2 linked regions of the Caenorhabditis elegans genome follow. The protein of the gene in region 2 interacts with the protein of the main gene of each other region in a pairwise test. Each region holds a gene or a part of one and is shown on either strand. Other genes may lie near its edges.

Region 1 (4,953 bases), on a different chromosome or scaffold from region 2:
ATCTCTTCTGCAAATCTGGAAATCTTGTGGATTTTGAGATGGACTTTGAGAATAAACTGAGATCGATTCGACGTGAAGAAATCCGAAGTTTGGAGCAATACACGAATGCGAAAAGCCCAGAAGCCAAATTTGGTGGAATAATTTGAAAATTTGTTGATTATTTCGATAACTTTTCGACTTCTTTACTTAGTCTTTTATAACGGTTGATAGCTCTTGTTTGTTAAATATGTTGATTTTGTTAAAATTATGTTATACTTTTTAAATGCCTTTTTCGTTTTCCTACTGGTGACAATTCCACTTGACTACCTTTTCGCATATTTCAATATTTCTCGAAATCTTTATCAAAATAATCTCACTATTAACAGAACATTTTCAGAACCAAAAATGAACAAGAAATCGGTCGGACAACCACCGGAAGGTCTTCATGAGACTAAATCGTTGGCATCGGCTCTTCCTGAAAAGAATGCCGAGCAAAGACCAAAATATGTACAAATTGTAGGAATTGCTGGAATCCTATTTAATAAATAATTTCTAAATTTATAGTTGAAGCAAGAAACCGCTGGCCCTGCTCAGGTGTCTCCTGCGAAATCTCCAGTTGGTCTTGGAAATTCTTCTCCTGCTGAATCGCCAGTTGTTGAGCCAAAGAAGACGAATGCTAAAGGAAAAGGATCCAAGAAAAATAATTTCGCTCAGCAAAATGGGAAACGGCCATTCAGAGTTTTTCTGAAGAAACAGGAAGTCGTAAGTAAAGTAAAGAATGAAGTTCGACAAAAATTATCTTATTTTAGGTTGCTCTTCCATCTGAAATAAAGTCCCGTGAACTTCCGATCGCCCCGGACAATGTAGTCTACTTCAATGGTCCTACTCATTATCTGTCTGCACTCTACCCGTGTACTGTTGTTGTGGATGGAAATGAGTATAACTCGGTTGAGCATTACTATCAAGCATGCAAACTCTATGTGCTCACTGGTGAACAGTCTGCTGCTCAGTTGAAAGCCTCTGAAACTCCGATCGAGGTGAAGAAAGCGACGAAGAATATTTTGAAAGAGGCGAAGATTCCAGCCAAAAAGATCTCCGCTTGGAAGGACAAGGACAGTATCGCTGTGCTCAAGCATGTTATTTATCACAAATTCAATCAAAACGATGAGCTGAAAGTCAAGCTTCTCGATACCGGAGACAAAATCCTCATTCAGACTTATATCGGGTTAGTATTATATTATTAACAACAATATTATTTACAAACCTTTTTTCAGAGACACGTACTTCGCTGCCGGCGCCAATGCCAAGTATACGAGCACTTGGGTGGATCGCCATGTCAATCAGAGCCTCAAATATCCGGAAAACGTGGTCGTCGACAACGTTCAGTATTTGCCATTGGTGGCCAACGGAAAGAATGTTCTCGGATGGATTCTTATGCAAGTTCGCGACGAGCTTCGTATGCGATCCTCCGCCTAAGCTCTCTCCAATGTTCTTTTTTGTCATTCCTCTCGTCGTACTTAAATGGGTCTCTTCTGCTGAATTTTCTATCGTTCCCTGTTATGTTTCATTTTAAATTATATGCGTCTTCTAGAACATCTCATTGTGCTCAACTTTGTCACAATGGTTCTGCTTGCTAGCTTAATTTTCTATATATGAAGAAACTGCATGATCGTATAATAAAATGTTGTTTTATATGAGTTTTTGCTACGGTATTTTATTGAAAAGGTATTTTCCTTAGCATCCTTAAGTTTGATTCGAATTTTTGAGTACTTCAAGAGTTTATTTTAGGTATAATCATCAAATAATGGTGAAACCAACCAGCTCGCTTCTTCAAAGGTTAGTCTATTCTTTAAGATTTAGTTTATTAAATATCGAATATTTCAGATACAAAAACAATGTTCGGGTGGATCCATCAACTCTAAACCACTACTTATGCTACTATTGCGGAAAAACATTGTCCGATCGGCTCGAATATCAGCAGCACATGTTAAAAGTTCATGAAGTTATGTCACAGTCCTATCAACTATGGTCTGATCACACAATGGACACATTAGGATTAATATGGAGTGAATCTAAACGGAGCTATGACCGGGATACTTCATGTTCTCGTGAGTAATGTTTTCTTTTTTGATTAGATAGTGATAAGGAACAATATTCAGAATGTGAAATTCTGAAAGTAGCCGGAGATTATAATTTCACAAAAACTTCTTTCATTCTAAAAATTGCAATATAGAATAAAACCTCTTGAGTGTCCACAACATATATATTTCTTACTGGTCATCTTTTAAACATTAATGTTAATATTCGCATTCGGAAAAAAAATTTTTCTCTGCGTCTCGATGAGAGAATGCAACTGCGCTCTACTGCACACCTATTCCTTACCACTGGCACTGGGCTTCCTCAATCTTTATTATTATTTTTTCCTTATTTTTGATAACTTAAAAATTCAAGAGATGCTTCTGTTTTGTTCCAGAGCGCGGCAGTAAAATCGAACCTAAATTTTTCCGATGAATTCGGACATTGACGTAGCACATCTTCTTGACAGAGTGGCAACACTTGAATCGATGGTGGGAGTACTGCAGGATAAAAATGACCAGAAAGATAGCGTTATTTTGAGTCTATCTAAGGCACTTGACAGCCAACTGGCTGAAATTAAAGATTTAAAAATGTGGAAAAAGACTGAACAAAATAGGCAGATGATTCAAGGAACTGCGCATAGACCAGATGAAGGTTCTGAAATTCGTAGGTTTTAGGTTTTTCCACGTAAACACTCGGATTATGTATTCAAGAAAATGCCGATTAGCTATGTTTAAATACAATTTAATGAAAAAAAATACGAGAAAACCTTATTAAATCTTTATACAGTTTCAGTTCCCGCTTCTCCTATGTCAAGAGAATCAAGAAACAGGAATTCGGACGATGATTATTACGATTATGTGTACGAAGACGAAAAGCCAAAAAGGAGAAGGATCGACGTGGAACAATCGAGACGATCGGTTGCTGCCGCAGCAGAAAAGCATCGAAAATTGCTAGAAGAGCAGAGAAGAAAAGCTGAAGCTGAATATGAACGAAAAAGGAAAGCTGATGAAAAGAAAAAAGAAAAAGCCATAAAAGACGAAGAAAAGCGTAAAGCAGAAGATTTGAGAAAATGTTTACAGTTGCAGCAACAGAAAACTGCTGCTGCTGCTCAAATAAGAGAAACTGCAGAGAAAGCAGCAGTGGCGAGAAGGATGAGTACTTTTGAGGTTGGAGAATCGTCAGAACAGCTAGCAAAGCCGGAAGGGGAAAAGAGAAAAAGAAGAAGAACTGAATCACGATGGCGAGAAATCGAATCTGATAGTGATAAGCCAGAGGTGACCGCATTGGTGAAAAAGATTTTGGAGGAAAGCAAGAAAAAGGAAGCGTCAAGCCAAGAAGTTGAAGATGCTGATCTGGTCCCTGAGCTTTGTAAGTTTCTGTGAATCTGTGTTAAATAAGAATAACGATTTCAGCCACACGAAAACCATACGATAATACGGAGCATGTTTCAAAGTTATGCAAAGTGTGCAAAAAGGGTCCTCATTATACATTTGCAAATCTGTTCGAGCATTGTGAGTTTCTTTATTTGTGACCTATTTTACAAAATGTTGAAAATTTCAGATCAAGACCTCCATAATGCAACAATCAAATCACTTCACTATTATGGATTTAACGGAAATAAGTTAATTGGAAAGAAGAATCTAATTGAACGAGATCACTGTCAGAGATGCGTTATCAAGTTCCCAAGAGCACGAGATTACTTTGCGCATATGATTAAACATCACGTTTATGAAAGTGTCAGATGCCAGCTTGAGTTAGTTTTAAACGAAATTATTCGCTGTGATTAATGTTCTAACTTTTTCAATTTCAGTTTCGAAAACGCCACCAACGCGGACGTTGAAGCTAGAATGATGTTCCGTGACAGAATCCTGACTCTTGGATACAACTTCAAATTCGAGCAAGTAGCTGATCCAAATCTCGTATCAGATGTTTTGGAACCTGGACAAGAACCATCGACAAGTGCGGAGCAGGAAGATCCGAGCTCGCTCAAAATCGTAAAACTCGAGGAACCAGAACTTGAAGAACAAAAGGCTTTGAAACCAGAATCAGAGGCGATGGAGCAGCAGGAAGACGTACACTCGCTGAATCCTGAATAATTCATTAATTTTCAATCATATTTTGTTATTTTTTTTCGGGTTCTCACAAACAATTTTACGTGAAACGTGATTCTTCATGTTTCGCGCGATTCTCAAAATCTAATCTCATTCTGTCTCCCATCTAGATATCTTATATTTCGGTGTAATATCTCTCTTCCACCACTCATAATGCAACTTTTACATTCAATAATTTTCAATTTGTTACCTGAACATTCCCGTTTTTAAATGAATTATTATTTCGACTATTTTGTTTCTTTCAGATTCAAGGAAAAGAAAAATTGGATATCCAGTTTTCACTGCTTAACACTTTAAATAAATGTATTCTATTTTGCAATGAATTTTGGTCAAAAATACGTTGCCCGGTCTCGACACGACAAATCTTTGATTGAATTCAAAATTTCAATTTGTGCGCCTTAAAGACTACTGTAATTTAAAACTTTTGTTGCTGCAAAATTTTCATCGATTTTCAATTTTGTTTTTGTCTCGTGATTTGTAAAAATTTTAGTATTAGAATGAATAAATATATTTTTTAAATAATTTCATCGAAAAACTACATTTAAAATCGATATAATTCCCATTTCAACACAGGTTTTAAATCACAGTACTTTTAAAGGCGCACATCGATTCGAATCCAGCGAAAATTTGTCGCGTCGAGACCGGGTACCGTAATTTTAGCGCAAAACTTTGCTTCTGGATAATATTGCGAATTCTCCGCTTGAAATGGACATTTTTTGATTAAAAAAAGGCGTGTTTCAAATTGTCGAAACTCATTATTTATTTAAATGATATATCAGTCACC
Region 2 (3,752 bases):
GTGTAGTACCGAAATCTGAGACTTTTTTTAGGCCCGAAATGGCCCAAAGCCTTGCAAGATTAACAAATGTTTGTAGATTATTCTTGGTGAATACGCGGAAATTAGGCCAAAAGGCTACTTGCTCAAAAAATACAGAGCTCGCAAATTGTAAACAAAATCTTGTCGGAGCTACACCATAAAATGGGTGAAAGAAAAGCCGATAGGCCACCCGGCATGAAAGGATGATAAAATTATAAACAATTTGGTTATAACATGAGTAATCTGCAAAAAAAGATTTCAACTGAATCAAAAGGATCGAACTTCTACGATGATGAAACACAGACAGTTAATAGGATCTCTGGAATTTTCAAAATTTACCATTTTGTGCAGTTTTTATTGTAAAACTTCAATTTTCTTATATTAGCAAAAATTTTATATTTGTGAGGCCAAAAAAGATTTCTGAATTCGCGGCAAGACTCTAAACTTTATTCCTGAAAATATTTAGCTCCTGAAAATTTCAAATTGAATAATACCCAAAAACCTAATCAACTGTATAAACTTTATTCTACATTTTCACATTGCAATATTCACATAAAAAACATAAGATTAACCAATCAATATGTCATATCCCCATCCCGACGGTTTAGCCCATGACGACTGAAATAAAAATATTATGCAAAAGCTTCAGGCTCAAAATGCTTACTTTCTTCGGTCCAGGTCTCACCTCCAAGGACACCCATGCCGCGGCGGGCATTTCTTCTCACTAGGTTTGGGAAGCCCTTGATCTAAAAAGATGTTGAATATAGAAATGTGGTTGAAAATGAATCAATACCTTCGGAGATTTTTTCGCCTTCTTTGCCTTGGGTTCCTCCGGGAGTCGCTCTTCGCTTTCAACATCGTTCTCCTTGTCTTCAGCGAGATCCTTTTGCTTTCCAACCTCCAGCTCTTTCTCAACTTCGGTTTTCGCTTGCAGAAGATCCTCAAAGGAGGTGATTCCTCGAGCTTCAACGAGAAGGTTGAGCTTCATGAGGAATGGGAGCCGGGGTGCGTCACGAGCGCGTTCCTCGGCGCTTTGATGGGCGAGGTTGGGGACAATGCCTGAAATTACAGATAGGTTACAGATAGGAATACACATAGGAAACAGACAGAGAAGTATTTGTAATTTCTAAAAATAACTTTACTTTCAGTCAAAAGTTTTGAAAAGGTGCTCAAAAACTGACTCGAATATCAATGTTTTAAGAAACTTTTTGCAACTTTTTATTGAAAGTAAATACATCTTCATAAAGTACAAATATTTCTCTACATTTCTACATAAAATTCAAAAAAAAAACTTAGACACAATAATGAGAAAAGAGGTATTTCTGATCGAAAACCAAATAAAACTCACCAAATTGGGCAGCAGTTTCAGATGTCATAGTGGGGAGAGCTGATGAACTATTTACCTGAAAAACTTGGATTGAGATTGAAGGACAAAAAGGAAAGGAAAATGAAAACTAGAGAATTTGAAAAATTAAAAAAAAAGTGTCTGCTAGTTGAAAACTAATTTTGAGCCGAAAGCGAATTCGGAAGACGGTTTTTCAAATTTTTGGCAAACGACAAAATTTGGCAAACTTTCGGCCAAGTATAGAAAGTCAGTTTTTCCACGCCATTAACACAGATCATAATACAAATAGGACATCCCTGGTTTCTGTATATTTTATTTTACTATTTTTAAAGGGTAAGTTCAACGTCGGGAGTGCCTAGAAACAAAAAGAAAAGCTGCTTAGCTGTCAATAATGGAGAAGAGAATCGAAGAGAGCAGCAGGTAGGCAAATGGCTGCCCAATCACCAAACTCTCCCTTTTATACCCCCCCCCCCCCCCTAAAAAAGTTAGCGGTTAGTACGGAACCATGAGATCATGAGAATGCCTACTTTTCTGGCGGCAAATATCTCGTAGCGAAGGGACCTGTGTCTCTCTTCGCCACATGCTCTCTCGCTTCCGCGGCCTGCAAATATTTTCGCGCCAGTAAATAAGTATTCTCATGATCTCATGGTCCCGTAATATGTTAAAAACAATTAGCAATAGAGCGCGTTTTTAGCCCCCGTTTGCTCACCTTTTATCCAAGAACACGCAGAGATTGTTTTGAGAAAGTGTTCGACGGCGAACTCCTGAAAATCGATAATGTTGCGGTCACGTAGGGGTCAACGCCTTTTATGTGGATATTTTAAAAGGAAAGAAAATGATTTTGAATTTATGAAAATGAATGAATTAAAGGATGAAACATCTGGTGGTAAAAACATGTGTACCAGGGGTGTGCGGCACATCTCACAATGTGCCGAGCTCGGCAAATTCGGCAAATCTAGTTTTTTGAAATTTGCCGTGCTCGGCAAACGGCAAATTCGGCGAATTCGGCAAATTTGCCGCACACCCCTGATGGGTACATTGGGAATTTGGACTGCGTTTTTTTTTCAATTCCTTGGCAGTATACCACCCGGTTAGACATACTTTAAAGCCCATTAAGCTTCGAATTTTTTCAGAACATTCTTCCATTATCTGCTTCAAAAATGTGCACCTGTCTATACATTCCTATTTTGGTAGTTCTTTGGTAGTTCCACGAATAAAAATTTATACGTGCAATCTACAAATCTGCTTATCAACTTTTCAAATCAAAAATTGATATAGAAATGCAGAAACATTTTTGCTATGTCTGAAAATATTACTTAATTTTTGTTGCAGAGCTCGGAAAATACCTCAAGTAGTGGTTGAAAATCACCGTTTGACGTCATTTTTGAACTTTTATTATTCAAATTTTCAAATTTACAGGCAGTTTTTCTACATTTCTCTATTAATTTCCCATTCACAAAGTTGTTTTTTGGTATCGAAATGAACAGTTTTTAAGTTTGGCGAAAAATGTTCTGCATAGCTCTGCCGTTTTGGACGCTCTATGGTTGTTCCGCTACTGAAAACTCATGCGTAAAAAACTTTTTCCCAGATAAATTCCTAACCCCTGAAGCTTCTCATTCTCTTATCTACCCATCATGCTATGTTTACAATCCCACATATATATTTTGAGTTCAACAGGCGGTGACCTTGAGTTCGAACAGCAACATGTGACTCTCTACGATTTCAATTGTTGGCAAATTGTCATTTTATTGGAAAATAGGAAAATAGGAAAATAAGAAATTTTGAATAGGATAATCAGGGAAAACAGATTTTAAATTCGACAGTTTCACTTCTTCTGCAAAGTCTTCTTTGGTTTCTTCGACTTCTTCCTGATCTCCTTCAGAAATTGGATGTCTGAAATAATAACTAATTGAAACATGAAGCTCAAAACTCATATAAACCATCTTCTGTATCTCCCTCATTGTAGTTGACTGGAGCCTTGGCGTTGCGCGCCGGGTTGAAGCGAACTACGGCTCCATGCCCGTGCAATTTATTGATCGCTTTCTTCTTCTGAGCAATCAACATTTGGCGATACTCTACAAATCATTTCTACAAATCAAAATTTTATAAAATTCCAATTTTGACCTACTCGTGGTCGCCTGAGCTTCTTCCTTGCGCATCCACGGAACTGCTTCCTTCACAAGCTGCTCATTTTGAAGAGCATCTTCTTTGACCCAAATTTGTTCTTCGGGGGACAGGGATGCTGAAATCTTATAATTCATTATGTGCCACATAATATTAAAGAAATTAAACTCACCGATGTAACCATCCAGCCCTTCCATTTCGCTTTCAAGGGTCATCATGACATCTTCATAATGACAAACGGAGATGGGAGAAGTTTTCTCAAAAA

The links.
Region 1: the proteins of F13A2.4 (region 2) and F44E2.7 interact in a two-hybrid assay, tested with the Caenorhabditis elegans proteins (one large-scale study listed by BioGRID).

What each region holds. Positions count from the first base shown.
Region 1 is NC_003281.10:8,845,301-8,850,253, reverse strand, and holds F44E2.7 (Putative zinc finger protein F44E2.7), read left to right. Parts: upstream 1-1,781; 5' UTR 1,782-1,783; coding exon 1,784-1,815; intron 1,816-1,863; coding exon 1,864-2,087; intron 2,088-2,641; exon of another isoform or gene 2,642-2,645; coding exon of another isoform or gene 2,646-2,721; intron 2,722-2,844; coding exon 2,845-3,426; intron 3,427-3,470; coding exon 3,471-3,569; intron 3,570-3,618; coding exon 3,619-3,811; intron 3,812-3,868; coding exon 3,869-4,154; 3' UTR 4,155-4,399; downstream 4,400-4,953. Other genes in the region: F44E2.9 (uncharacterized protein), read left to right, coding at 1-146; F44E2.8 (NADAR family protein), read left to right, coding at 385-495, 544-741, 789-1,204, 1,254-1,455.
Region 2 is NC_003283.11:4,398,110-4,401,861, forward strand, and holds F13A2.4 (Gag-pol polyprotein), read right to left. Parts: upstream 2,110-3,752; 5' UTR 2,073-2,109; intron 1,422-2,072; 5' UTR 1,395-1,421; coding exon 1,367-1,394; intron 1,078-1,366; coding exon 812-1,077; intron 765-811; coding exon 683-764; intron 637-682; coding exon 623-636; 3' UTR 526-622; downstream 1-525. Other genes in the region: F13A2.5 (M-phase phosphoprotein 6), read right to left, coding at 3,189-3,256, 3,304-3,438, 3,492-3,605, 3,660-3,752.